Linked DNA regions of Oryctolagus cuniculus. The protein of the gene in region 2 interacts with the protein of the main gene of each other region in a pairwise test. Links are inferred from orthologs where the notes say so. Each region holds a gene or a part of one and is shown on either strand. Other genes may lie near its edges.

What was found.
Region 1: the proteins of CD63 (region 2) and TIMP1 interact in binary tests that used the Homo sapiens proteins (3 or more experiments, as listed by UniProt). The link is inferred for Oryctolagus cuniculus from reciprocal best matches to the Homo sapiens genes CD63 and TIMP1.

The regions. Positions count from the first base shown.
Region 1 is NC_091453.1:33,077,511-33,091,176, reverse strand, and holds TIMP1 (metalloproteinase inhibitor 1 precursor), read right to left. Parts: upstream 10,246-13,666; intron 9,360-10,245; coding exon of another isoform or gene 9,352-9,359; coding exon 9,231-9,351; intron 8,046-9,230; coding exon 7,966-8,045; intron 7,428-7,965; coding exon 7,301-7,427; intron 7,039-7,300; coding exon 6,914-7,038; intron 6,078-6,913; coding exon 5,907-6,077; 3' UTR 5,806-5,906; downstream 1-5,805. UniProt on the Homo sapiens protein: Metalloproteinase inhibitor that functions by forming one to one complexes with target metalloproteinases, such as collagenases, and irreversibly inactivates them by binding to their catalytic zinc cofactor.
Region 2 is NC_091442.1:58,546,131-58,561,759, reverse strand, and holds CD63 (CD63 antigen), read left to right. Parts: upstream 1-5,942; coding exon 5,943-6,008; intron 6,009-6,757; coding exon 6,758-6,946; intron 6,947-7,032; coding exon 7,033-7,107; intron 7,108-7,200; coding exon 7,201-7,296; intron 7,297-7,388; coding exon 7,389-7,529; intron 7,530-7,716; coding exon 7,717-7,800; intron 7,801-7,891; coding exon 7,892-7,957; 3' UTR 7,958-8,045; downstream 8,046-15,629. Other genes in the region: translation initiation factor IF-2, read right to left, coding at 4,221-5,518, 5,620-5,944; RDH5 (retinol dehydrogenase 5), read right to left, coding at 8,899-9,122, 9,392-9,555, 10,841-11,099, 11,179-11,488; BLOC1S1 (biogenesis of lysosome-related organelles complex 1 subunit 1), read right to left, coding at 12,902-13,012, 13,233-13,365, 14,524-14,602, 15,009-15,146. UniProt on the Homo sapiens protein: Functions as a cell surface receptor for TIMP1 and plays a role in the activation of cellular signaling cascades. Plays a role in the activation of ITGB1 and integrin signaling, leading to the activation of AKT, FAK/PTK2 and MAP kinases.

The DNA.
Region 1 (13,666 bases), on a different chromosome or scaffold from region 2:
GGATGAGGCGTGTCACTCCTTCAGGCAGTGGGGCCAGGGCCCAGGGACACTGAGCACGGAGCAAAATGAGAGAGGCAACAGCGTGGAGTTGGCGGGGGTGGGGCAGGGAGCCTGAGTAAGAGCAGGGAGTGGGAGGACAGAGCTTGGGGAAGGGGTAGGGACAGGAAGTAGGGAACAAGGAAAGAGAGCAGGGACTAGGAAGAGGAGATAGGGCACAGCAAAGGGGAGCAGGGAGCAGAGGGGGCAGGGGTGAGTTGGAGTCTGGGGACCGCTCGGGCCCGGTGCTGTCCTTTCCTGTTCCAATTCAGGAAGCCCTATCTGTGCTCCTTCCAAGAATATACCCCTGCATCTCGTGAAGTGGAGCGCCCCATCCTTCAAAGAGCCTGCAAGGGAGTCGAAGGCCATGCCTTCAGGGCCATTAAAATGCAAACAGCTATCTTTTGGCTGGGACATGCTGTAATCTCTAAGTGGCTGGTTGAGGACAGAATATGCTGTGGTGGGCTGAAATCAGGAGCACAGTGTCCTGTGCTGGGGGAGGGGAGGAGGTGTGGCGGGACTCGGATGAGAGGAGGCCCCGGGGCTGCAGACACTGTGCCAGGGATGCTGCACACGGAGGCCTGAGGCTGAGCAGCTCACACAGGGTGGGGACAGCTTGGATGCCTGCTGTGAGGAATTGCCAAAGGGGAGCCTCCCCGGGTGCATGTCAGCACACTTGCACTTGGTGAGTGTATGGACACCTAAGGGCGTTGCTCCTTACTCTCAGGTACTGCTAATGAACCAGATATCCGGGACCCTACTAGGAACCTCGAGGAGAGTCTTGGAGGGGCGAAAGGAAGAGGGACACGGGCTGAGGAGCATTGGTGAGGCGATGGGCTGGGGTCTTGGTATGACTTCAGTAGCTTTTGGGTCTCAGTGCTTCCAGCCAGAGCAGAGTTGGGTACAGTGTGGATATCCCTGCCCATATGAATGAGGCTCTTCCATTATGCTCTTTCAAGAGCTCATACCTCTGGCCTTCTCTGGAGCAGGACTGTGGGAGTTGGGGGATTTATCTGGACCTCTACCAGCTTCTTAGACTTTCAACCAGTCTTCTCAAAATGCTCGTTTCACTGCCCCCCCCAACTGACGGCCAGAGAGAACTTTGTACCCTAATCCATTCCTTTCTCAGAGGGCTCTACAGAGTAACTGTGGATGATCCTCAGATTTCACCATTACTGGCATAGGAGGTGTCCAGAGCTGGATGGTGAGACATGTCAGTCACTATTAATAAAAACAAAGGGCTACTGTTATGCAAATCAACCTTTCCACCTGTCATTAGCTGGAAGAGAAGGATGATTCATCATATGGGGTAATCGCTAGGGAGCTGTTCTAGCTAGCAGGGGGATTTTCCAACTGTAAATATCTAAGGATGCAGAAATGTGTCAGTGGAGTTCAATCAGTAGAGAATGCATGGATATATGGTTTCTATGAATGGAAAGATTTCTGAACAGGCTTTAAGTGAGGTATACGGATATCAAGGGTACGTATTTCTGATTGGCAAGATTTGACAAGGGGGCTCGTCAGTGTCATTCCTAATGGACAGTGGGTGCGTGCCCATATACCATCTTTTTTTAAGATTTATTTTTTAAAAAGGGTTATTTATTTATTTGAAAGTCAGAGTTACAGAGAGAAAAGGAGAGGCAGAGAGAGAGAGAGAGAGAGGTCTTCCATCTGCTGGTTCACTCCCCAATTGGCTGCAACAGCCAGAGCTGCACCTATCCGAAGCCAGGAGCCAGGATCTTCCTCCAGGTCTCCCACGTGGGTGCAGGGGCCCGAGGACTTGGGCCATCTTCCACTGCTTTCTCAGGTCATAGAAGAGAGCTGGATCGGAAGTGGAGCAGCCAGGACTCGAACCAGCACCCATATGGGATGCCAGCACTGCAGGCAGTGGCTTTACCTGCTATGCCACAGCGCCAGCCCCCCATGTGCCATCTTGATGTACGAATGGGAGGTTTTCAACAAGAATTCTATCATGGAAAACTTTATGATTAGAGAGATTTGTCAACTGGGGGTATATCAATGGATGGGGAGTTATGAAGAGAGATTTTGTTGCTGGGCTCCATCAGCAGGCAATAGATTGCTGCTGTGTGTTTGTGAATGGAGAAATTTGTCGCTGGGAGTGATGCATGGGGAGATAGTGCTGGAATATTTATGAATAAGATGTTTCTTAGCGAGGCAGTTCTGAAAAAGAGGATTTGTCACAGTGGGGAGAGAGGACCTATCAAAGGAAGGACTTGCCAAGGGCTTGGGATGTGGCATGTGTAGTCGTGGCAACAGTACAGATTTCCAAAGACAAGGATTAGTCCCCAGTGAGGACTTCATGGTGGGGAATATTATCATGGGGCGGGGGTTCCCTCAGAAGCCTTTGTCAGTGGAGAGATTGACATACTCTAAAGCAGTGTACACACTTCACACTACCAAGAAAAATATCACAAGTGAGCTTATTAAGTATTTGTAACAGCCCTGTAGAGCAGCTCAGCCCTGGCAGAGATGATCATGTTCATCTTAAACTAACGTTTCTAAGGGCTGCCTAGGAAGCCCACGCTCCATATTGGAATGCCTGGTTCCAGTCTTGGCTCCTCTTTTTCCAATCCAGCTTCCTGCTAATGCATACCCTCTGAAGGCAATGTAAGATGGCCCAAGAACCTGGGTTCCTGGTCCTTGCAGGAGACCAGAATGGAGTTCCTGGCTCCTGACTTTGGCCTGGCCCAGCCCCAGCTCTTGCGGCCATTTGGGGAATGAACGAGTGGATGGAAGATCTCTCTTTCTCTCTCTTTCTCTTTCTGTGTCTCTCAAATAATGTGAAAATAGATGATTTTTTCAATTAAAATACATTTTGTAGAAAAATGAGGTTTCCAGGCTGCATCAAATTATTGCTCATAAGATACAATATTTATAATATTGTTTTATGCTTAATATCAAATATTATTTGAAATATTGTAGATAACTATGAGTGGTAAGAGTATCACTACTAAAGTTATAAATTACAATTATTTTGCCATAACTACTACTTGGAAGTTTCCATGTACAACCTTATTTAATGTGTACATTGTCCTTATGCATTAGGCATATTTTAAAAATATATATTATTTATTCATTTATTTGAGAGACACAGAGAGCTCCCATCTACTGGTTCACTGAGCAATATTTCTAACAGGTACTGAATTCCTAGACAGGCAGTGTGGTGTGCCGGCTAAGAGCATGAGCTCTGGAGCCAGGCCATCTGCATTCAAATCCTGGCCCTGCCATGTCCTAGCTGTGTATCCTGGGGAAGTCATAGTACCTTTCTACAGCTCGGTTCCTGCACGGGAATAAAAAGCACACTCACTTATGGGGCCGTTGCTTGGCCTGGTCATGAAAACACCAGTTGAGTTGCCTGCATCCCATATCTGACTGCCTGAGTTTGAGTCTCAGTACTGGCTCATGATTCCAGCTTCCTGCTAATGCAGACCCTGGGAAGCAGTGGTGATGGCTCAAGTGGTTGGGTTTCTGCCACCTGGGTGGCATACCTGGATTGAGTCCTGGCTCCAGATTGCTCAGGAAGTTATTGTTATGAGAGTCTCACGTGTTCTCACCTGAGAAATGCCCATGGGCCAGCCAGCCTAGAAATCCTCCAACCTCAGCAACCTTCTGAAGGATTCTGCAGGGGGGCTGTGATGCCCACTTTTTAAAAAAGATTTATTTATTTATTTGAAAGTCAGAGTTACACAGAGAGAGAAGAAGAGGCAGAGAGAGAAAGAGAGAGCGGTCTTCCATCCAATGGCCCATTCCCTAATTGGCCGCAATGGCTGGAGCTGTGCCGATCCGAAGCCAGGAGCCAGGAGCTTCCTCCGGGTCTCCCATGTGGGTGCAGGGGCCCAAGGACTTGGGCCATCTTCCACTGCTTTCCCAGGCCATAGCAGAGACCTTGATCGGAAGTGGAGCAGCCAGGACTAGAACCAGCGCCCATATGGGATGCTGGCACTTCAGGCCAGGGTGTTAACCCACTGAGCCACAGCGCTGACCCCCAGATGCCCACTTTTTAGGAAGAAAGACTGAAGCTCAACTGAGAGAAGGGCCAGTCCCCAGGCTACTCACTGAGCTGCACACCTCATGCAGCTGTGACCCCCACATGCTTGCTCTCAGCTGTCACTGACTCTCTCCCAGAGGTTCACACACAGATCCACTGAACGCTGGGGTTAGGGGATGCTCAGTTTACTCCCTCTAATGGATTTTCTAGAAGAATGATAAGCAGACACAGTGATCCCAGGGCTAGAGAACCTGCCAGGAGCTCATGCCAAGGCCCTAGGGGAAGTAGCCTTGTGCACGCCGTGGTGGATTCTATGTACCCTGACAAACTGGTCGGCCCCATCCGTGCTGCACTGGCTGCTGTTGGTTCAGGGACCTCCCGAAGGGTGCACATGCTGGCCAGGGAATGGTCTGCATGCTGAATTCCCTGCCACCTCCCAGTTCAGCTTCCTCCCAGGGCTCAGATGAGCTGAGGGCTCAGCAAATGGGCCCTGAAGGCAGGAAAGAGCTTAAGAGTGCAGGGAGTGGGTACTGGGGTTGGGGGAACTGTCAGGAGCTTCCAGAGGCTCACAAGCAGCTGAGGGCCTAGTGACAGAGTCACCAGAGCCAAAGCAGGGCCTGGCCCTTCCCCTACACTTGCACAAATCAGCAAAGACCGCCATTTGCTCTTTTTGGTGGACAGGGTCCAGACCATCCTAGATATGAGCAAGGTGCCAGTGGCAACATAGAACCTGCTGCCACAGTGGGCCTGGCCTGTTCAAGCAGTCACTGCTGCATGCTCATCTCCCATCTGGATCTGGGACATATCTTGGGCCCTGGGAGAATCTCTCAGGCGTGCAAAGGGCTTTGAGACAGGACCATAGAGGCTCTAGAGCCCATGCTGGGTGACCTAGAATGCTCCAGAGGACACCTGGATTCATACTGGTAGTAGTCTGATGGGGAAGAATTGTGGTCCTTTTCTTCACCAAAGATTGGGACCTTTTATAAGCAGATTTGGGTCAACAGCACACTTGAGTGTTCCACTGAATGTCTGCATTCATCTGAAACTCTGATCCCCACCTGTGTCTGGACTTTGGAGTATCCCAAGCAGGTGTCAGGGGCTGGAAAGGGGCCAGAGGGCCCCAGGCCCAACTTTAAGCATAGGGAGGCCCAGGAGTGCTGGGAGGATCTCTCTCAGGTCTTGTGAAGGAAGACAAGCCAGAAAGCTGAGGGTTTGGTGCAGAGATCTCAGTTTGGGTGCGGCACCAGCTGGGTAAGGGGAACCTGCTGCTTAGGCCTCATGATGAACCCTAGCGGAATTTCAGTGCTGTCCACGTTCCCTTTAAGACTGGTCAGAGGAGTGAGGGGAGCAGGGAGAGGGGAGAGGGGACAAGCGGAGAGCTTGGGGGTTTTGAGATCACACCTTCTCTCCATCTCACCTGTCCTGTGTCCCCACACAAGCCCTCCTAAGGAGTCATCCACAGGCCAGAGCCAGGGCTCGAATCCCTGGCTGGGTGACTTTGGGGATTTAGGGATCCTCTGAAGGTTTCCCCTTTGGCTCGAGTCAGATTTCCAGTACAAAACTCAAGGGTGAGGACAGGAACGCTCATAGTTGGGCAGATCCCCAGTGCTAATACCAAGCCTGAGAGTTAAAAGCACCACATCACATTTTAGGTGAAAGATTAAAAAAAAAAAAAAACCAGCACCTAGTATCCATCACTGCCCTTGGCACAGATCCCAGAGTGCTCCCACCAGGTCATCAGCAACACGGGAACAGTGTCTGCAGGGTGGTAGTTCTTTATTTCATTGTGTGGGACAAAGAAAGATGGGGGTAGGAGGGAGGCAAACATGGTGTAGGCTTCGGCTTCCAACAGGAGCAGCCTTCAGTCTTTCCGGGGCCGCAGGGACTGCCAGGCGCACAGCCCAGGCTCCTGTGGCAGGCAGGCGAGATGGCGGCTCTGGAAGCCCTTGTCAGAGCCTAGGAGGAGCTGGTCTGTCCACAAGCAATGAGTGTCACTCTCCAGATGGCAGGGGATGGATGCACAGGCAAACACCTACAGGAGAGGTGGGAGGACACAGCTGGGAGGGCTGCCCTCCTCCACCTACCTCCCCTACCAAGACGCTTTCCCTCCTCAACTTGCAACACGAAGCGGTTAGGGGGACTTGGTGTCGCCCCACCTGGGTTCAGACCCAAGAACAGCCCCTCTCTCGCTGGGAAATAGTAAACCAGAGAAAGGACCCGCATCCTGGAATGGTGGTTGGGGAATGGTCGCTGGAGGTCAGTCTGGCAGGTCTCCTGGGGGATTGTGCTACGGGACATCTGGAAGTCGTGGGGTTGTGGGGTAATGGAGTGTGGGGAAGTAGAGTGTAGCAGTAGCTAGTGGGCCTCTGAGGCAGTCCCTGGGGTCAGATGGCATCAGGGCCATCAGGGAACAATCTGGGGGCTGCCAGAAGTTCATGTAATGCTCGCTGACGTCTGCAACAGTCAGAGCTACACTGACTCAATCAGACTTGCTGAGCAAGAGTCAGTGGGTTTGGGCACCAGCACTTTAGTCTCCTGGAGAACATTCTAGGGAAGGAAAAACTGAAAAATAAAGAAAAGCAAAAGAAAAAACTAGGCCAAGGGGGTCAGAAACAGTGGGACTACAGGATAGGCACAAGGGGGAGTTAGAGGGACAGGTCTGAGGGACACGCAGTCCCAGTGTCAGACACAGCACCAGAATTGCTAAGGGAGCAATCATAGGGCTCGGGGACTAGCCAGAGAGATCCGGGACAGCCCTTGTGTGTGGGGAGCATGCCCTGGAACAAGCAGCAGCCAGAGGGATTAAGAAGCAAGCCCAGAGCTTGAGGAAAGAGCCCCAGGAGTGGAGGGCAGAACCCAGGCACTCACTGTGCACATGTCACAGCCGGCAGCGTAGGTCTTGGTGAAGCCGGAACGTTGAGAGAAGCTCAGACTGTTCCAGGGAACCACGAAACTGCAAGTCGTGATGTGCAAGAGCCCGTTCCGCAGTTGTCCTAGGTGAAGGAGAAATCAACAGGCAGGATGGTTTTTTTTTTTTTTTTTTTGATTGATTGTCTGGGCGGGAGAGGGGGATGGGTGGGGAGAGTGCCTGATTGGAGTTCTTAGCCTACAGATCCCCCATTGGGCAAAGTCCCTGCCTTCTGATAGGCTGGGATCGGCAGGTCTCATTTCAACCGGGAGGAGTCCCTTCTGAGCCTCGCCCCGGTGTCTGAGGGACGGGCAGGCGTGGCCCAGGGTGAGGGGAGGGGGCCTCACCAGCGATGAGAAACTCCTCGCTGCGGTTCTGGGATTTGTGGGAGTACCCGCAGACACTTTCCATGGCGGGGGTGTAGACAAACCGGATATCCGTGGCATGCCCCAAGGCGTCAAATCCTTTGAACATCTGTTGACAGATGAGGGGAAGAGTTGTTTACCGACATCATCCTCCCACTCCACCTTCTTCCCTGAAGTCATACAAGTATAGCATCCTGAGATCACCACTGACCTCCTTCCTAACCTGTGGCCAGAGCCTTCTATTTTTTTTAACTTACTTACTTGAGAGGGACACGGAGAGAGAGGGAGGGAGGGAGGAGGGGAGGGAGAGAGAGAGAGAGAGGGAGACCTCCCATCCATTGATTAACTCCTCCAATGTCTTGCAGCAGCTGGGGCTGGGCACGGGCCAGGGCCAGGAACCGGAAACTCCATCCAGGTCTCGCACAGGGGTGGCAGGGGCCCAAGTACTTGAGTCATCACTGCTTCCTGCCAGGATCCGCATTGGCAGGAAGCTGGAGTCAGGAATTGGAGCTGGGAATTGAACCCAGGCACTCTGATGTCTTAACTTACAGACGTCTTAACTGCTAGGCTAAATGTCTGCTCCCAGAGGCCTCTATTTTGACCAGGAAGAAAGTGTTAGGGATGCTGGAGAAGGGGCAGGGGAGTACCTTGGTTGTCTTGATTTCATAACGCTGGTACAAGGTAGTATGATTGACTTCTGGAGCCCCCACAAACTTGGCCCTGATGACTGCAGGAGAGGAGGGGAAAGATGAGTCAGAGGGACTGCAAAAGCCAATAAAAATAAAGTCATCATCCTACTAATCCCAGGCAAGCGCATACATAAATAGGGATTACTGTATTCCAGACGGCACACTAAGCGATTGACACATTTGTGAATTGATTCATCTATATATCGAGTGACTCCTCTTTCCCAGGCACTGCTTGAACCTTTTTCATTTGTTCATTTGCCCATTGACTCAACAAATATTTCAGAGCATCTACTGTGTGCCAAGCACTGTTGTGGGTGTTAAGGACCCAACAGGAAACAAAACACAGACTTCCCTTTCCTTGTGGAGTTCACATTCTAGCCAGGAGGAGACTGACTAAAGACAAAGATGAGCACTGGGAAATGTTGGATGCTACTCGATATAGTGCGGAATTACAAAGCTTGGTGAGGGAGTCACCATGATTCTTTGCTTGGTCAAGCTTCAGTCAAGCTCCTAAACCTTCTCCTAGGCCCATCTGTGCACTTGCTTGCAAAAACCCAGTTTTAGCAAAGAACCCTGCTAGGTCCGTTTATCGCAAGAATCCCCCACCCTCATCTGCTCAGCCTCATTATCTGATGGGGTTCTTCATTCCCCAGCCCCCACCCCCAGGTGATGTCTCATCACCCTGGCCCACCTTCTGCAAATATCCTTTAGCCACAGTCCCCACTCCCCTTACCCCACATGTTTTCTCTTTCCACTGACCCCTGCCCTGTTCCTGGCTACAGATTCCCACTTGCCCATGTGGTATTTGGAGTTGAGCCCAGGCTCTCTTCCTCCCTGCAAAATCCCATTGGCATGGGTCCTCTTCCTGCACCTGTAGGGATGGTCCTGAATAAAGCATGCCTTACGGAGCTTCAACAAGCATCCTTGAATAAGTCTGTCTTTAACAGGGTGTGTAGAGTACTAGAGGGGCAGGAGTTAAAGTTTTAAGCACGATGGTCAGGGAAGGCCAGGGTGACACTTGACACAGCTGCCCATGTGTACACGGAGACAAGGTTACCAAGCAGAGGGTGCAGCCCGCACAAAGGCCCTGAGGAGGGCTTGAGCCTAGGGTATCCCTGAGGGTGTGGAGTCAGGGCAGAGGCAGGTGGAACTGCTCTAGAGGCAGGTGCCATCGAGAGGGAAAGCAAAGCAAGGGATTGCGGGCACAGTGGGTCCTGACTCACCAAGGTCGGAGTTGCAGAAGGCCGTCTGCGGGTGAGGTGGGACACAGGTGCAGGCTCTGCTGGGGGCTACCAGCCACAGCAGCAGCAGCATGCTGGAGGCCAGGGCTGCCAAGGGGGCCATGGTGGATTCTGCATGAGAGTACGGGTGTCAGGCAGCCTTCCCGCCCATGCTGCCCCAGGCTGGTCTGCAAGGGGATGAGGGGGCTGTGTGGGGGCTTGAGGAGTTGGGAATCTTGGGATTTGTAGGAGAAGGGGTGGGATTGCAGAGGTGTTCAGGGGTTTAGAGAGTTGGGAGAGTTGAGGGGTTTGTGGAGTTGGAGTGGCTTAGGGCACTGAGTCAGGTGGGGGATTGTAGGGTCTTGCATTTTGTGAATAAGGAGGGGTCTCAGAAAATCTGGAGGGAAAGGGAGTTGGGGTGGGGGCCAGAGAAGTCTGGGAGTTTCAGAACTGTACATATTAAGTGATGAAGAGGGTGGGGATTTCGGGAGGTTGAGAAATTTGGAAGAAGTTGGGGGTTTAGGGAGTTGTGTGAGTTTGGGAGCTCAAGGTGTTGGGGGGATTGGGTGTCTAAGGCGATGGGGCTACTTTAGGGATTTGAGGACAGACGAAGTGTTGAGGTTTAGGGGGTTGAGGATTAAGGAGTTCAGAGACTGGGCTAGGGGAGTTTAGGGAGCTGTGAAGGGGGGGCTGGGCTGCAGATTGAGGGGGTTAATGAGGGGCTTGGAGGCATTGGAAGGTTGGGAGGCGTTTTGGTATTAGGGGGTCATGGGTTTGGGGGCAATGGGGATGGATGCCAGGGATTCGAGGGGGGTTGCTGTGTCAGGGCCGGCAGCACTTCCAGCCCCCTCCCCGCTTGCCCTTGACCAGTCCAGGGTCCTGGTACCCGCAGGCCAGGCTGAGCAGCAGCAGAGGAATCTGGCACGGACCGGACAGGCCTGCTCGCCAGCGCACAAACTCCAGACCAGCCCCAGCCCTGCCGGCAGCCCAGGCCTCCACCCCAGCCTCACCCGCTTACCTCTAGCGTCTGTCCGGGCACTGGAGCAGCGGCGGTGATGGCGGCAGCACGGCCTGAGCAGTAGAGGATAAATGTCCACGCGAGGGGCGGGGTTGGCGCAGAAACCACAGGCCTCCAGGCTTCCTGGATGCATTACTCATCCGCCCACCGTCAGCGCAGAAGTCTAGGGGCGGGCCGAGGGCTGCCCAAAGGAGAGACACCCTCCTTCCCCTCCCCTCCCCCAGCTCCACGTCGGGCACATTCCTTCCAAGAGAGCTCGGCGGCGGCAGGATCCCCCCCCCCCCCATTGAGTCCTCGAAAGTCTCCCACGGCTCTGCAACCGCCCACATCCGCCAAAATCCCCAAGGCTGAAGCCTGAATTTAGTCCATGCCTTCGATCTTCATTGTGCATCTGCTGTGTACCAGCACATGAAAATCCCAGCCTGGTAGAGGGGGGGAAGCAGAAACAGTGTGGACGGATTAGGCCGATGAATGGGGAAAAAGTCAAGGTGAAGACAGGCTGAGGCATAGGAGACATTACATGATTTAACACAAGATTGCAGTTGATAAATGGCCCAACTGAGGCTTGAACCCAGGTAGCCTGGAGCCACAACCTGGGTCTGAACCCTTCTCAAAGAATCACAGGCAAATGGCCAGCATTTATACAGCACCAACTGTGTACCAGGAACTCAGCACAATTGATTTCATTTAAAGCTCACAATTAGCCTCTGAGGTGGACACCAGGACTTGTCCCATTTTACAGATGAGAAAATAGGAGGCCAAGAAGGAGTGGAAAACTTTCCCAGGATCACAAGGCATGGCCAGGGTTTGAACCTTGGCTAATTGGTGCCAGGTGGGGCCCCGTGTTGGCAGGCAGGGAATGGTACCGGTGGATTAGTGAGCATTGGCAGGGGGGTTGGATGGTGGTGAAAGAAGCTAGTGAGTCAGTAGAAAACCCATCCAAACCCATCCCCACCCCATCCTGCCCTACCCCTTCCCCACCAGCCGGCCCACGCTCCTGTTAGCGGGGGGGGGGGGGGGGGGGGCGGGGGGAGATGAGGCAATCACTGCCCACCAGTTTCCTGATGATGCTGGCATCTTCCGTGGGGTCCTGAAGAGGGTTCCGAGGGCTGATTAACCTCCTTGGTTAATTCAGGGAGGACAGAGCAATAAAAATCCTGACGATAGGGATAACGGCAGCCTCTTATTGAGCACTACTGTGTACTGAGTGCATTGGTTTTTTGTGTAAATTATCTCATTCCCTCTCCATTACTCCCTTGCTACTTAAACTTGATTAACTCAGAGAGGTTCGCTCAATAACAAGAGCACGGTAAAATTACAAAAGGAGTGGTGCTTCCTGCACATCAAACATGGGTGTAAAGTCACTCTGCTCGTGCCCTGTCCCTGATGAGCTCCTGGCTCATCAGTGTGCGTGATCAAAGGCCACAATATGGACAATGACAGTACCTAGCAGTCTTTGAGGGTGCAGGCTGACTGCTTGCTAAGCACTTCCCACCAAGTAACTAATCCATCCCTCTCCTTGCAGCATCCCTATGAGTTAGACACAAGCTCATTTTCTCATCATGCACGTGAAGAAACTGAGCCACACAAGGGTCATGTGACTTGCCCAGGAATGCAAGTTCAAAGGGTTCCCTTGGAGGGACCAAAAAAGGGAAGAAGGGAAGTAAACCAAAAGTATGTGGAAGCCGGGTTGTGAAAGTGGGGGAGTGAGAGTGAATGAAACAGGGGGCTGAGTAACTCGCCCGCAGGACAGGGAGGGAAGTGAAGGCAGGGAAAGTCCTCTCTTGGCCCCTGTGCCCCATGCTGACCCCAGCTCTGACGCCAGTGCTTTGAAACCTGAGCCAGCATTATTTTTAATAAGATTTATTTATTTGAAAGTCAGATTTACACAGTGAGAGAGGGACAGGCAGAGAGAGAGAGAGAAAGGTCTTCCATCCGCTGGTTCACTGCCTAGATGGCCACAATGGCTGGATCTGTGCCTGCTTTCCCAGGCCACAGCAGAGAGCTGGATCGGAAGTGGAGCAGGACTCGAACCAGCGCCCATATGGGATGCTGGCATTGCAGGCAGCGGCTTTACCCGCTACACCACAGCGCTGGCCCCCTGAGTCAGCAGTCTTGCCAGGGAAGGGTTGTGTGGATCCAGGTTCTTGTGCAGGTTTGGAATCAGGGGCAGGGGGCGGTGGGGAGAGGGGCTTCACGGAGGAGTGTCGGGTGTGTGACCGTGTGGGACACCCGATGGGTATGAGGTCCAGCCGAAGTGTGCAGAGCAGACACCTGAGGATCCTCCCAACATACCACGTGCTGGGGCCTGACTGTGCCCTTTGTACAGATCGGGAAACTGAGGCCCAGAGAGGCAATCAGTAATCGGCCTGGAATGCACAGGGCTTTGCAAAGAAGAGAAGCTGAGATGCTGATCTAGAGTCCTATAGGCCATCCCAGGGTCCAGAGCTCCCAACAGGCACCCGTGTGCAGACACACACAGCACATACAGTGTTGTGTTCAGGCTCAGGTTCAGAAGAACCCAGGACACTTTCTGAAAAGAGAGCCCTAGAGACCTCAGATGGTAGGGGATGGGCATGTGTGCGCAGCTCTCTGGCATCTTGCTGTCTCTGGGCGCTGCCTGGACCCATGGGTGCTATGCTTTGGGGATGTGGCTGAGCACCCTGTACCACTTCACATGTTTTGTGTGCTGCTTCTGGGAGGTGTGTATCGAAGTCTGTGAAGTGGGTCTGGGTTCATGCACAGTTGTGAGTGTGCTGTTCACTCTGTGTGGTGTGGTGCCCAACTGGGACGTCACACGCATGCCTTGGCATCATGTCCCTGGCACACTGCCTGGAGGATCTCTGTCAGTCTCCCTGTCCGGACACTGGGCCTCTCAGCTCCCGCGAATGACGCCAGTCATTTAGGAAATGAGGAAGGCGGCGGGGGAGGAACAGAGGGAGGCGAGACCTGAAGGTCCATCGGTCACCCTGAATGTGTGGGCTTCCTGTGCCTGTCGGGAACTGGGAGCCGCCACCGCCCCAGCAGCCCCTCCGGGAATGCCATCCCTCTGTCTGCGTGAGGGAGGGCCCTGCGCTTGCATACGTGCTGGCGGGGAGGGGCCTATGGTCATCCAGCTCAGTTCTCTCTACCGCCCCCCACCCGCCCCGGGTGCAGAGAGAATTCAAAGTATCCTTTCCCCCTGAAGCTGTGGGTGTCCACAAGTGCTGTATATTCCAGAGAGTTGCGGGTATCTCCCGTGGTGTGTATGTCTTTCCGTGCCGCACGAGGTGTGCGTCTAACCATGCTCCCAGGAGTGTGCTATGGGTCTCAGTGGTTGTGTGAAAGTGGAGAGGTGCACGTCCCTCTGTTAAGTCGTGTAGATCCTTTCAGTTGCTGGGCATGTGCCTAGGAGTTGCACGTGCACCTGTGAATATTGAGC
Region 2 (15,629 bases):
CACAGAAGCTAAGACCCTCCCTAGGAAGCCATGGGCCTGGCTGAGGGTCCTGGGCTGCCCGCCTGCCCACCCACCAGGCAGGCTGGGTCAACCCCATTGGTAATGGTGACCCTTGCTGGGAAAAGACTGAGACAGGAGTCAGGGAAAACCAGAAAGAATGAGGTTGGGATGGAGGAGGGCCCTGAAGAGAGAGCCAGGTCGGGGTCGGGTAGGACGTCACAAACAGGAGCTGGGCCTTGGGACTGGAATGGGGGTCTGGGCCAAGGCCAAGGTGCGTGGGAGGGGGAGAAGCTGGGGCTGGCTGGTCCAGGCTGAAGCTGGCAGATGGGAACTCAATCCAGGTTTCCCATGCAGATGGCAGGGACCCGCATACATGAGGGTTGCACATTAGCAGGAAGCAGAACTGAAACCCAAGGTACTCTGACATGGGATGCAGGTATCCCAAGTGGTGTCTTAACCCCTGTGCCAAATGCCAGGTTCAGAACTTACGCTGTCTTTTATTTATTGGAGAGGAAGGTGAGAGAGAGAGAGAAATCTCCCATCTGCTCATTCATCCCCCAAATGCCCACAATGGCTGGAGCTGGGCTGGGGCTGGAGCTGAGAGCTGGTCTCCCTTGTAGGGGGCAGGGACTCAGGTACTTGAGCCAGCACTGCTGCCCCTCAGCGTGTGCATTAGCAGGAAGCTGCAACTGGAAGCAGCGCTGGGCCTTGAACCTGGACGCTCCGATACATCATGGATATCCCGAATGGCGCCTTCACTGCTGTGCCAAACACGGACCCCTGGGCTTAGCATTCTTAAGGTAACAAAGCCAACCCCCGCCCCCAACTGCCCTGGGAGGTGGGGGAGGAGCTGTTTTTCTCCTACTCAGCCAGGAGGAAGTTGAGGCTCAGGGAGGGGTGGGGGCTTAGCCAAGGTCACCCCCTCGGGAGTGGCAGAACCAGGTGTCCCAGCAGCCTGTGGTCTGTGCTGGTGGCAGGTGTGAGGGACCCAGCCCTGCAGGCCGATGCAGCCAGTGTGGCTTCATCTCTGTGCAGACGCAAGGGCATGTTGGATGCATTCTCCTGTGAACCCCGGGGGCCTGGTCTTGCCCACCATGAAGGAGCTGGTGTGGTCAGAGCTGCCCACACCAGTGACGGGGGAGTTCCCTCTCTCACCTCTAAGCAGTATATCAGTGGTGATGTCGCTGTGCTGCGCTCCGACTGGGGCTCCCTGGGGTCTAGAACCCACTGTCTGGGGAGCCTGTGCTGGGCTGCTGTGTGAGCCCCCGCAGCACAGCCCCTGTCTTTTTTTAAAGATTTATTTATTTTTTATTTATTTGAAAATAAACAGAGAGAGGTAAAGAGAGAGGTCTTCCATTTGCTGGTTCACTCCCCAAATGGCCACAATGACTGAGGCTGGGCTAGGCTGAAGCCAGGAGCCAGGAGCTTCTTCCTGGTCTCCCACGTAGGTGCAGGGGGCCTAGGACTTGGGCCATCTTCCACTGCTTTCCCAGCATGGTGGAGCAACCGGGACTCGAACTGGCACCCATATGGGATGCCAGCGCTGCAGGCTGGGGCTTTAACCTGCTACGCCACAGCACTGGCCCCCAGCCCCTGTCTTGCTCTCCTGGTCTTCAGATCTCCTACTTGGGGCCAGGGACCCACCTACTTGCCTTCTAGGGTCTGTGTTGGCAGGACGCTGGAGTCAGGAGCTGGGGCTGAGAATCAAACCTGGGTCCTTTGATTTGGGACATGTGTCTCAAGTGCTAGGCCCAGCACCCGCTGCGCCTCTTCTTTTGTGGTAAAATACAGATAGCTTAAAGTCTTCTGACATTCTCACCATTCCGTAGTGGACGGTGCAGTGGCAGTATGTTGTGCAACCACCACCTCCTTCTGTCTCCAGAATGTTTGTACCTTCCCTCTGTGAAACCGTGCACAGCAATTTCCCCTGCGCAGCCCCCGGCGCTCACCACGCTCCCCTCTGCCTCCATGAATTCCACTCAGAAGAGGCTATTCTTGGGCACAGAGGGTCAGGCCGCTGCTGGCCACAACGGCATCCCACGTGGGAGTGCTGCTTCGAGCCCCGGCTGCTCTGCTTCTGATCCAGCTCCCTGCTAATGCACCTGGGAAAGCAGTGGAGGATGGCCCAAGTGCTTGGGCCCCTGCACCCATGTGGGAGACCCGGACGAAGCTCCTGGCTCCTGGCTTCAGCCTGTGTCAGACCAGGCTGTTGGGGCCATTTGGGGAGTGAACCAGAAGATGAGAAGTCTCCATCTCTGTCTCTCCCCTTCTCCCCTCTCTCTTGCTCTCCCTGTTAAATCAATCAATCTTTTTTTTCTCCTACAGAATGGGCCATTCTTGGGGCTGGCGCTGTGGTACAGCGGGTTAATGCCTTGGCCTGTAGTGCCGGCATCCCATATGGGCGCTGGTTCTATCCTGGCTGCTCCACTTCCGATCCAGCTCTCTGTTATGGCCTGGGAAAACAGTAGAAGATGGCCCAAGTCCTTGGGCCCCTGCACCCGCGTGGGAGACCTGGAAGAAGCTGCTGTCTCCTGACTTCAGATCGGCGCAGCCCTGGCTGTTGCGGCCAATTGGGGAGTGAACCAGAGGATGGAAGATTCTCTCTCTCTCTCTGACTCTCCTCTCTGTGTAACTCTGACTTTCAAATAAATAAAATCTTTTTTTTTTTTTTTTTTTAAAGAATGGGCCATTCTTGCCCTTCCTTGTTCCTCCCTTCCAGCTCCACATGATTGGGTCTTCTGGGGCTCCCCCGGCCCCACCACTCTGCACTTGCTGCAGTTTGCTCACAGCCCCTCCCGTGGTACCCCTCCAGGAGTCCCTTTCTGCTGACCACCCGTGCTCTCTCCCTGCCCACGCGCATGTCTCCACTTCAGCCTCAGCAGGTGCTCCTGACCCTGGTCCAGAGAGAGCCACTGGTTCTGTGGCCTTCTACTTCCCACCATACGATGTGACACTTCCAGTCACTGTCCCCTCTCTTCCCGTCTTGAGGTTCTCTTTTCTCTTGGCCTCCTAGAGAGAGAGAAGTAAGCAGAGGCTTTGGAACCCCGTGAGCTCTGGGTTAAAATCCTCAGCCTGCTTTTCACTAGCTTGAACTCTGGGTGTGACTCCATGTCTCTAAGTCTGCTCCCTTATCTCTGAAAGCAGGAAAGCACCGACCTCACAAGGCTGTCTGAGGACAACGCTGACCTCATCAGCCCAGGTGTCCAGCCCAGTACCTGCAATAGTGCAGCAAGGGCCTTTCACTGTCAGCTCCTTTCCTGGTTGCTAATCCCTGCCCCCACATTCCTGAGATGGAAAAGCTCTCTGAGGCTGCGAGCCCTCACAAATCCATGGATTCAATACTAGTGTCTGCAAGTGGTGGCTTAACCTGCTGTGCCACAATGCATGGATTTTCAGATAACTTTTTTTTTTGTTTCTTTCTAAAGATTTATTTATGGGGTTGGCTCTGTGGCATAGTACGTTAAACCTCTGCCTGTGGTGCCAGCATCCCATACAGGTGCCGGTTCAAGTTTCAGCTGCTCTACTTCCGATCCAGCTCCCTGCTGACACACCTGGTAAAGCAGTGCAAGATGGCCCAAGTCCTTGGGCCCCTGCACCACCTGGGAGACCCAGATGAAGCTCCTGGCTCCTAGCTTCGGATTGGCCCAGCTCCGGCTGTGGCGGCCACTTAGGGAGTGAACCAGCGGATGGAAGACTTTTCTGTCTCTCCCTCTCTCTGTCTGTAACTCTCTCAAGTAAATAAACCAATCTTAAAAAAAAAAAAAAAAAAAAAAAAAAAAAAAGCTGCTTTCCCAGAAGCATTAGCAGGGAGCTGGATGACAAGTGGAGCAGCCAGGACTCAAACTAGCAGGCAAATGGGATGCTGGAGTTGCAGTAGGCAGCTTTTCCAGCTACACTACAGCCCTGGCACCACCCCCCCCCCCCCAGCAAGTCTTTCACAGCTGGGTTGCTCAGGCATCCAATTGAATCCAGGACCAAGTGCTGAACTTGGTGGCTGGGCATCTCAGCTCTCTCCCCTCCCATCTTCACCACATCCTTCCCTTGGCCTTTGAGGCAACTCCACGTGCTTTGGAAAAATGCTTCTTTCTTTCCCTGTCTGGAACTGAGATCCTGCAAGGTCACTGGGCGGGGGGGGGGGGGGGGGGGGGGGGGGGCTAAGCCGCCCACCCGGTGCCCTCCTCCCTGTGTGCCCAACTGTCACCTGACGCATCTGCCTTTCTTCACGCCCAGGACAGAGCTTGGTTTGTTGCTTGCAGAGAGCAGGCAGGGCTCTGGTCTTCCTCCCCTGGATGCACAAGCCTGGCATCCAGCCGAGGCACGGGGAGGAAGCTGATCACTACTCCTTTCTTCAGGCCCCTCGCTCCTCCTCCTCCGCAGCCTTCCTGCCGCGGTGAGGGGAAGCAAAGTCCAGGCCAGGATCCTGGAGACTGCTTCTGCACCCGGCCAGGCCCGCCCTCCCCTCCTGTCCCTTTGACAGCTTCTGTGTGCACCCACACGCCCAAGACACGGGAAGTGGTTTTGAGGCAGGTCCAGAAGCACCTAAGGGGTGGAGACCGCCGGCGGCCCTGGAGCGTGCCCCCAGCCTGGATACCCCAGCCCCTGCCCTGCTGTCGTCCCCAGTAACAGGAGCCATGAGCCAGCGGGGCACAGACCTTGGCACTCCTCCTCCGCGGGAGGGACCCGAGGGACCCGCCCTGACGCGGCCTGGAGGGGTGGGGTGGCCGTGGAAGGGGGCCTCCTGCCTTCTCCCCGCCCTGGAGAATGGAGGAGCCCTCACTTAGAATTTGCGAGACTCCCTGGACGTGTTTATTCTGGCCCACCCAGTCCCAAGCAGCCCACGGCTCTCGCTGCAGACTCAGGGCTGGGGCTGGGGCTGGGGGTAGGGGCTCGATCCCAGAGGTGGCGGAGGAAGCGACTCGGCGGCGACTTCGAGGGCAGCTCCCGGCCACCCACCGCCCCCGCTTTCGGCCCTCGCCCGCCTCCTCTGCCGCGCCCAGAGCCAGAGGGAACCAGGCGGCGCTCGGTCCCGCCGTCCTACCACGAGCTGGCACGGAGGTGGGGGCGCCATGAGGGCCCCAAGGCGCCTGCAGGGCCCGGCCGTCCGAGCCTTCCCTGGGCGGGCGTGGGCGCTGTCCTGCAGGCCGGGGGGCCACGTGGCTCCCGCTGGGCGGGGGGCTCGGCCCTCCCCGGGCCGGCCCCGGTGACTCAGGCCGCAGCTGTTCCCGCGTCACATGAGGGAGGCCGGCGGCCGCCCGGCGGGGGAGGGGGCTGTGGCCGGAGCCCGGGGCGGGGCCGCGCGGCGGGCGGGGCAGCAGCCGGGGGGCGCCGCTAGAGAGCCCCTGAGCCGCGGCAGGAGCGGAGCGCACAGCCTCGGGGAGCCCAGGTGAGGCCGCGGGGGCCGCGGCGGGCTCGGGCGCGGGGTCGGGGAGGCCGCTCGGGCGCCCCTTTCCTGGGGCTCGCCCGGGGCCGCCGAAGACCCGCCCCGCGCTCTCAGCTGGCGCTCCGGGCCCTGGAGCAACTTTGCTCGGAAGTTCCCGAGCAGGGGCGGGGTGGGCGGGGGTGCCTGCCGCACTTGTTTAATTTTCGGGGGGCAGCCCAGAGCGCTGGCGAGGAGCCTACGGGGTGGGTTCGGGATTGGGCCGGAGGGCCGTTTTTCGGGACTGGTGGGACGCCCGGGGCTGGTGGGCCGGGGGTCGGCAGCAGTCCCGAGCCCCCGGGAGCTGCCCCAAGCTCGCGCCGCGGCGGGCGGGGACCCCCACCCCTCTGCCGCCCGGGGAGCGAGGGGGCTGGGAGACGTGGAACCGACCGCGGGCTTTCCGGGTGGGAGGGGCCGGGAATGGGGGCCGGGCAGGGAAGGCCTCGAGGGCCGGCGGGGAGCTCGGAAAGCGAGGTTCCCCCTAATCCCCCCTCTCCGCCTCCCCTGGACCCCAGGCCCGGCAGCCATGGCGGTGGAAGGAGGAATGAAATGTGTCAAGTTCTTGCTCTACGTGCTCCTGCTGGCCTTTTGCGTGAGTGCGGAGCTCGGGCGCGAGCCTGGCGGGGCGCGGTCGGTGGGTGGGGGGTGCCCTGGCTCCCGACCGCCGAGAGCCAAGGCAGCTGCAGGCCAGATGTGCGGGGAGAGCCCGGGGAACGGGGCCGAGGGCGGCGCCGCCACCCCGTCTTCTGGCTTTCGGGGACCCCGGAGGCCCATTTGACCGAAAAGTGGTCCTCTTGGACGGGCAGCGCCCCACCCCCACCCCTCCTGGCCCTTCCTGTCTGGTGACCCAACCACTTGTGATTGGGGCAGTGGGGCAACCAGCCAACGGCCTGATGCTATCGCCACGAGGCTCCTCTGCCCCGTCCTCCCGCGGCCCCCTCTTCCTCCACCCCACATCCTTCCCCTCTTTCCCGCCCGGCTTCTGTGGGGGCGAGGAAGGGCACTGCTCACCCCAAGTGGCTCCCGCCCGGGCCGAGAAGCCGCAGTTTGTCCAGGGAGGAGCACCCTTGCCCCTTCTCCTTCCTGGCCTAGCCGGCCGGCGGAGCTGTCACCGCCAAGGCGTGGGCTGGCACCGGGGCTGGGCGCCCTGGAGGCTCGTCCTGCTCTGGGCAGGAATGTGTGCCCCGGGGTCACAGCTCACCGGTAGCTTCTCCTTTCTCCCCAGTCCCTCCATCCCCTCCCCCGCAGTCCCCTTTCCCGGAGGAGTGCGGCTAGGCCTCTCCTCCAGGGGTCAGCTCTGTGTTTCCGGCCAGCCTAACCCTCCCGTGCCCTCTCGCTCAGGCCTGTGCAGTGGGATTGATTGCCGTGGGTGTGGGGGCGCAGCTCGTCTTGAGTCAGACCATAACCCACGGAGCGACTCCTGGCTCCCTGCTGCCTGTGGTCATCATTGCCGTGGGGGCCTTCCTCTTCCTGGTGGCCTTTGTGGGCTGCTGTGGAACCTGCAAGGAGAACTATTGTCTTATGATCACGGTGAGTGGTGGTGCCAGGGACGTGTCCCCGTGGCCAGGTCTCGGGTCGTAGACTGGAAGGCTGACTCCTGTGCTGTGCCCCTGCAGTTTGCCATCTTCCTGTCTCTGATCATGCTGGTGGAGGTGGCCGCTGCCATTGCTGGTTACGTGTTTAGAGACAAGGTGAGTGGGGAGTGAGGGGCCGGTCCTCCCCTGGGCTGCTCAGAACCCAGGTGCCTGGATTCGGACCTCAACAGCGCTTCTCCTTACTCTCAGGTGATGTCGGAGTTTAATAAGGATTTCCGGCAGCAGATGCAGAATTACTCGACAGACAACCAGACCGCTTTAATCCTGGACAGGATGCAGAAAGATGTGAGCGGGGCTGCCGGGGGCAGAGGCGTCGCCATGCCAAGGGGGGAGGCTCACATCACCACCCTCTCCCCCGTCTCCCTCTCCTCCCCCAGTTCACGTGTTGTGGGGCTGCTAACTACACGGACTGGGCGACCATCCCTGGCATGACCAGGGATCGCGTCCCTGACTCCTGCTGTGTCAACGTCACCTCGGGCTGTGGGGTCAAGTTCAACGTGAAGGACATCTATGTCGAGGTAGGGAGGGGGCTGGATAACCTGGCGGAGGCTTCAGGAGGCACGGAAACGTTCTGGGACGGAGGTGGCCGGGGTTAGGGATGGGAGGTGGACAGGGTCAGGGACGAGAGGTGGCGGGCCAGGTGCCTGGTGCCGGCTGGTGGGAAGCTCTGGTAGTGCTCTCACCTGTGTGCCTGCCTCCCCTCAGGGCTGCGTGGAGAAGATCGGGCTGTGGCTGAGGAAAAACGTGTTGGTGGTGGCGGCAGCAGCCCTGGGCATTGCTTTTGTGGAGGTGAGAGATGACCCGGGCAGGGGCCCGTGGTCCCACGGGTGGATCTGGGGTGGCTTGCCCTCCTCACTCCCCTCTGCCTCTGTCCTTCTAGGTCCTGGGCATTGTCTTTGCCTGCTGCCTTGTGAAGAGCATTCGAAGTGGCTACGAGGTGATGTAGGGCTCTGGTCTCTTCAGCCCCCTCCGTCTAGGGGAGTGCAGTCGTATCCACCAGGTTTTTCAATTAAACGGATTATTTTTTCAGACCGAAAAGAGACATGGTGTCTGTTTGTCTCAAAGCAATACCTGACCTCTTCCTCCTTATCCTTGTTCCCTTGCTCTGTGTGCACCGCCGGGGAAGGCAGGTGGTGAGCGTCTGGGAAAGGGGGTTGTGCTTGAACGTGTTGAGTGGGCTGGCAGGGGGATGTGGGGTCTGGAGGAGGCGCCGGCCCAGTGCCCTCTCTGCCCCCAGCCCTGCGCTCTTTGCTGGAACATCCATGAAACCACCTCCTGGGTAAGTCCCAGGATTCCCACACAGGCCTCACCTGGGAGAGCCCAGCCTGGGTCAGCTGTGGCCACGCTCTCCCTGGCGTTCTGTGCACCTGGGGGCCCAGCAGCCCCCTCTCGCGCAGTTCTCAAGGGGACCTGCTTCCTTTCAGGGTGCTGATAAGTAGGGTGGCCACTTTCCCTCATTCTGGACTGAGGAGAATGAGTATCCCCCCCCCTCCCCTTGGAAACCACTCAAGTTGGCCCTGATGCTTCATCACGGAAGAGAGCTAAAGATCCATTCCCAGTACAAACACAGAATTGTAACCTTACTCCATGCAGAAAATAGGTGACACATGCAAAGTGCCCTCTGGTGGCCACTCCTCCGGGTGCGGTTGCAAAGTTCACCCGAAGATGCAGGAGTTCCCGGCGCCCCCCAGTGGGCGTTTTGCAGGCACTAAAGACTTGGCAGTTTGGGGACGCCTTCATTTCTGCTCACTCACTTTCTGCTTTTTAGACAGTACACATTTATTGAGTGCCTGCTTTGCGCCAGGCACCAGATGGTACCAGAACGAGGGCAGAAACAAGTCAGAGTCCTTGCTCTTGGAAAACAGTCTCTCTGGGAGGCTGATTCATTCAGTAGACGGTCTGGGCAGGCTGTGGAAGGACCCAGGTGAGCACGGCATCCACCAGGCTGGCCGGCAGGTAGGAGGCCGGCAGCCAGAGCAGCTTGGCGTCCCAGCCTGGGCTGTAGCGGGTTCGAGGGTGACGAGCAGTCAGGGCGTGCTCCAGGCACTTGCTCACCTTGGTGAGGTCCGGGTCACAGATCAGGTTCATGATGCGTCGCTGCACTGTCAGATCTGCGGCCCCGTGGTGGGTGTCATCAGCCTCAGGACACTGCCCCCCTCCTGGGCCCTATCTTCTGGGTCCTGGGCTTGTTCCTAGCAAGGTCAGAGGGTTCCTCGCCTCCTCACCCCCCAGCCCCGTTTGGGGGGTGGGACTGGGCTGCTGTGCATGGCATCCCATCTTGTTTGCCCCCACTCCTCCCACAGGCTGGGGTGGGACTGACCTTCCTGGTGGTCCTTTCCCGTCCTGCCGTCCCATGCCCCCGTCTGGCCCCGCTACTCACACTTGGTGAGGAAGGTCTCCCCGTACTGGGCCTGTGTGGCTGGGGGCAGCCGTGCCCAGCAGGCCTGCAGGCCGCTGTCCAGGCTCTCCAGGTTGGTCACAGGGGTTCGGAAGAAGCCAGGCTCCACGATGGAGACTTGGACCCCAAAAGGAGCCACGTCCCGCCTGGAGTAGGGGCAGAGGGAGGGCTCAGGGCGCTTGCCCTGTGGTGCACAGGTTGGGCAGCTAAGATGAGGGCCTTAACACAGATGAGGGGCAGGAGCCCTGACGGGGGAGGTCCGGGCTGCCTGGCAGCCGGAGGCTTTATATTTTCTTCTACGATCTGTAGCAGAGGTCAGCACACTTTTCCTTAAAGGGCCACCCAGTTTAGGCACCATGGGCCAAGAAACACAATTAGCCTGACCATTATGAGCCTGCAGGCAGTTGGCTGCAGCTGGCCTGAGAACAACCCCGTGAGTTCCGAGTGCTGACATGCAGGGTGCAGACTGGTAGTTCTGGGGGTGGGGGCGGTGGGGACACATGCCAGTGCCCTGGTGTAGACGCAGAAGTCCACATGTAAAGCCTGTGTTCCGGGCTGACTGGGAAATGAAAGGCTGAGGGACCGAGACAGAGGGGAACGCTGAAAATACTGAGTGACGGGGAAGAGGGCGGGCTTCCTGAGCGCCTTGTGCTCGGCTCAACATTGAGGCCCCGCTGCCCTGTCGTCCTGCCCCACCTCCTTTGTGCACCCATGGCCCCCTGAACAGGATTACTGACTGATGAGGGGTGGGAGGCCCCAGCGCGTCTGCTAGCTGGTGTGTATTCCTTCTACATTTTGGCCATGTGCTACTTAGTGATGGTAGTCTGTTTCCCTATTTATAGCAATAGCAGGCTTTTCTGAGCACTTAGTACCTACCAGGCACTGCTGGGCCCCTTATTTTTACCTCTCACCACACCTGGGAGGTAGAGCTTCTCATCCCAGTTTAACAGAGAAGAAAAAATGGGTAAAGAGAAGGAATCTTTGTAAGACCCTGAGGCTTGAGGGGCCAGTGCCATGTCACAGTAGGTTAATCCTCCATCTGCGGCGCCGGCATCCTGTATGGGCACCGGTTCAAGTCCCGATTGCTCCTCTTCCAGTCCAGCTGTCTGCTATGGCCTGGGAAAGCAGTGGAAGATGGCCCAAGTGCTTGGGCCCCTGCACCCACATGGGAGACGGTGGAAGGAAGACCTTCCTCTCTGTCTCTTGCTCTGTCTGTAACTCTACCTCTCAAATAAATAAATAAATAAATAAGAAAGACCCTAAGCTTGCATGAAAGGACTTGAATCCATGGTGTCTGGACCTGAGCCCTCTCCTCCTGGATACTCCACTGTGCTGTGTCTTATTTTTTGCTGGCCCACCCTGGGCAGGCACTAATTTGTTTGTTGGGAGGGCCGTCCTTGGGTTGGGAGCCCACAGCCCTGCGCCCCTCACCTCAGGCTGTCAGAGAAGGCCTCCAGGCCAAACTTGGAGACACAGTAGCCCCCACCGTTGGCTGCCAGGCGGCCCAGGACGCTGCTGACGTTCACTACCCGGCCCCGGGCCTGCTGCAGCAGGGGCAGCAGGGCAAGAGTGACCCCGATGGGACCCAACGTGTTCACACTCAGCACGCGGTGGAAGTCGTCTCGTGTCAGCCACGGTGTGGGCCCGATGATCCCGGCCACGCCAGCGTTATTCACCAGCCCAAAGAGCCCTGTGGGGGAGACGGGACGGGCGCAGAGGGCAGGTGAGGCCCTCCCACAGCAACCGCCCCTGGGTGCCAGGGTCCTCACCTGCTTCCTTAACGTGTGACTCCACCCACGTGGCTGCCCGCTGCACACTCTGGGGGTCAGTGACGTCCAGCAGCGTGGTGTGGAGGCGGGAGGAGGCCACCTGCTGTAGGTTCTCTGCCCCAGAGGGAGTGAGGCAGCCGGCCAGGACCCGGAAGCCCTTCTGGTCCAGTCGCAGTGCCAGAAGGCGCCCGAATCCTGAGTCACAGCCGGTGATGAAGATGAAGGCATCGCTGCTGGGCAGGCTCTGCCGGTCCCTGAGCAGCCACAGCCCTGCCCAGAGCAAGGCACCCAGCAGCAGGAGCAGCCACATGGCAGGATCCAAAACGGCCTGTAGGTGGCAGTGTAGGCTGGGCAGAAGCCTTGGCCCCCAAGCCCTTGCCCCTAATATCCTCCCTGGCTGGGACTGTCCAGTCTGAGCAGATTTGAGAAATTAGCTACCTGGTGAATAACTGGCAAACTACAACTCATCTCTGCAACACAGACGTGGGCAGGCCCTGCACTGTGGCTAACCTGATTCAAGCCGGATGAGCCGGGGCCTGTGTTGGGGAGCAGAGGGACCTCCTTGTTTGTTCTCACCTCCGCAGCGACCCCCAACCCTCTAAGTGTAACCCCGGCCTTGTGCCTGGAATCACAGGGTCAGGAGCCCCTCGCCCAAGTCCCGGTGGCCTCCAACTTGTATGGCGGTGTCTGAACCTCATTTGCCAAGCGGGGCTGACACCCTGAGCCATGAGGGTCTGGGATGCCACGTGAGGAAGATGAGATATGCCTGGCGCTTTGAGTTACTGGCACACGGGACCTCCAGCCCCTCCCCTCACGGCACCCCAGCTCCCAGGGTCCCCCTTACCTCCTCTGGGGAAAGCTCGCAGGTCCTACAAAGCCCGAAGCTTCTTGTTTTGCTTTTAAGAGACTTTGCTCCTGGCTTCCCAGGCTCCCACGCTAGCTCCAGCTAAGGCCCAAGTCCGAGTGGGTGGCCTCGGGTGCCAGGAGTATTAAGCACATGTACGAGGGGGGTGGAGGGAGGGCCGAGGAGGAGGAGCCCTGAGCCTGGAGCCCCGAGGCCAGGTCTGCCAAAGCCCAGCTGCCTGCGGCCAGGGCTTAGCAGAGGCCAGATCTGCCCAGGCCCCTCTGGGGCTGTCAGCCTGGGTAAGTGGCCACCTGTGTCGTGGTCTCCCAGGAGGGAGCTGTCAGGGACAGCAGCTGCCCCTCTCGGCTGGTGGCCTTGGACCTGTCATTCCTCCCCCTTCTTGGCCCTGCTGTGCCTCCAAGAATTAATCTCGCACCCGGCCCAGACTCATGACACTGCTTAGTGCTGGCCTGGGAGAGGCCCTGAGCACGTGGAGAGGCCCCGAGCCAGAGCAGGGGCCCAGGCACGCTGTGTGTCTTACTTCTCTTCTGCAGGAAACTCAAGTCCCGAATTAGGACGCCCTAAGGACCCCTAGAACCTTCTCTGGGGAAGTGTGGGACACTCGCACCCTAAGCTTACCCAACAGGAACCTGCACCAGGCCTGAGGAGGAGGAGGAGCGGGTCGGGACAGTAAGAGGAAGCTGGTTCCACCCGTATCTAAATGGCACCATCCTGTGGGAGTCACCCTTGATCTTTCCATCCCACTTCCCACACTGGAGCACCTCGAAACACACCACACACGAACGGAGGCTGGGGTTTTATTCACGGCCTGGTGCGGGTGACACAGGCAGGGCGGGGTGGAGGGCGGGGGTGGAGTGGCTAGGAGGGGGCCGACTGCAGCTGTCCCTTGTACACGTATTCCAGCGCGGTGGCAATGGTGCGCATGTCCAGCTCAATGCTCCGAGCCCAGTTCTCCACATCCCCGATTTCCTGGGAAGGGGAAGCAGGTGGGTGGGCAGGCGCGGCTCCCAGGCTGGGGGTGCTTTTCACCCACCCCCTGGACCCACCAGTGACTTTCCTTTCTCTGGCTGTTCACACACTGGGGCCACAGGTGGGGCTTCTGGGACCAGCTCCACTTCCTCCCTAACCCCTGAGGGAGGCAGACTGTGGGGGCCCAGAATGGGGAGGTGATAAAGGGAGCGAGGCCCACCTTGAGAGCCTGGTTGAAGTTCTCCACCATCCCAATCCACTGGCCTGTCTGCTTGGCAAACTGGGCAGCCTGGGCCTGCAGGGTCTTCACCTCGCGGTCCAGCTTCCTCTGGTTCACGTAGGCCTGGGCCACACTAGGGTTAGGAGGAGGAAGGAGGTCAGCTTGCCCCTCTGGTCTCTCGGGTGGTCTCTGGCACCGAGATTCCAGTGCGGCAGGGGAAGGCCGGCCAAGGGGCCAGGCTAGGGAAAACCTTGGGATTTTGGCCACTCTCAGATGTGATGCAAATGACCCGGCTCCTTCTTCCCACTCCCAGGATTCCTCCTGAGGGAGGAGCTGGGAAGGGGGTGTGGTGCTGCTGGGAAAATCCAGCCGCAGGGACACATCTGCCAGTGATTGGAAGGCTGGTGATCTGTGCAAGAGGTCCCCCTGCCCCCTCCCCGGCCGAATCTAGGGTGGGATGGGGGAGCTCACTGCCTCCCCAGAAATTCTGGGTCAGGAAGGATATCCCAGGGGTTTCTTTCTGGCTCTCACTTTCTCTCCTTCTCCTTTCAGCCGCACACAACACACACACACACACACACACACATACACACTCCCTCCCTTCTGTTCTAGGCAGTGGTTTTTCTTTTCTCTTCCCCAAGGTGCTGGGGGCAGTTAGCATGATGACCATGGACTCACGGGGCTGTTCATCACTATTCTCCCTGCCTAGCTGATGAATCTTTCACTCCGCACCCCAAAGCTCTCTAGGCCAGCCAGGGGCCTCCACATCCGGCGCCCTCCACCCACTGGAATGTGTGGGGGCTGGCCGAGGCAAGGGGCAGGACACCTGACAGGGGCCTTTGTCTGAAGAGCCGTGGGAGCAACACAAAACCCTTTCTAATCTGCCTCTGGCTCAGCTGCCTTGGGAGCTGAGAGTGGGGTGGCCTGTGGCATAGGGAGAGGAGGGGAAGCCTGGGCCAAGCTCAGAAATGGTAGACACAGCTGAACCCAGGCGGCGCCAACGGGGGAGGGAGGAAAAGGGACAGGCTCTGGCCTTTCTGGTCGGAGACAGCGCTGAGTGAACAGGACCGCCTGAAGGGAGGCGGCCAGAGGCTCTGGCCCCAGCCTCTTCCCCTGATCTCCCCACGGATGAGTAATGAAGATGACCCCGGCCCCTGCACGGCTCACTTGGCTGACTCATCCCGGCACGCATGGCCAAGCTGATCTACTTGCCCCGGGGTGGAAGGCACCACGCTGCCTCCTTTCCCCCCGACAGTGGTACCACGGGGCTATCTGACTCTCCAATCCTCACCTCGGGCCTCTGGGGTCCCAGGTCTCTGGCAGTGACTGGCATTCACTTAGGGACCTGGCAGGGGATGGTCCTTGGAGACCTGGGAGGGATGGAAGAGACAGCTTGGCTCTTCCGGGGCTCCTGGCACAGGTCCTGTCCTCACCCCACCAGCAGGGCCAGCCCTTTCCTGCCAGCTGCTCCTCAGGCTTGCCGGGGTGGGAGGCCGAGAAGGAGAGGGGGGCAGGCCGCAGGGAAGGAGGGGGCGTTCCCTCCCGCGGGAGGACAGCTGGCCCGGGAAGGGAGAAGGGGGGGCAGATGGCAGCAACTTGTGTCTGCCAGGGGAACCCTGGCCGCCTCTCCAACCAGCACAGCTGCTCCTTCCTCTTCTAGGGCTAGCAGCAGAGCTGGCTGATGCCTGTCTCCAGACGGTCAAGCTGGGAACCCCGTGGGGGGCGGGGGACCGCGTGGAACATTTGACTCCTTCCAAAGGGGTCTGGGGGCCAGACCTTGCCAGTGCCCCAACTCGGGGTGGGGGTATGGGGAGCTGCTGTCGCCGGGAGGATGTTCGTACCCCACGTTGAGGTGGTCCACCAGGGCTTCGGTCAGGCAGGTCGCGGCCGTGATAGCCTCTCGCCTCCTCTTCTCTGGGGGGGGGGGGGGGAGAAGAGGGATTGGAGCCGGGACTGGTTTTTGAGGGGTGGAGCTACAGGTTCTTCCCCCATTCATGCGAACCTCTCCACTGATGTCAGAGTTGAAAACGACCGAAATAGAAAGCAAAGTTTCATCTGAGAGAGGCGGACTCGCTTAAGGACGCCAAGGGCAGCACCCACGACGCCTGACTGCGAGCCCCCCACCCCCTCCTCGGCGGTCTCAGGCCTCCTAGAACCGGGTCTCTGGGAGCAATCCCACGGCCTCCTTCGTCGGGGGCGTTCCTCCCCATTCCCAGAATGACAGGCGCCCTACCAATAGGCACAGCGGCCCACGAAAAGAGGGCGGGGCTACGAGGCCGCCAAGTTGGGGATTGGCGGCGTTGCCGAGGGGGGACCCGAGTGTCGCCGAAGGGGCCAGAGCCCGTTGGCCAGGGCACGCAATCTCCAAAAAGGCCGCCCCTCGGTTTGCTCTCCGCC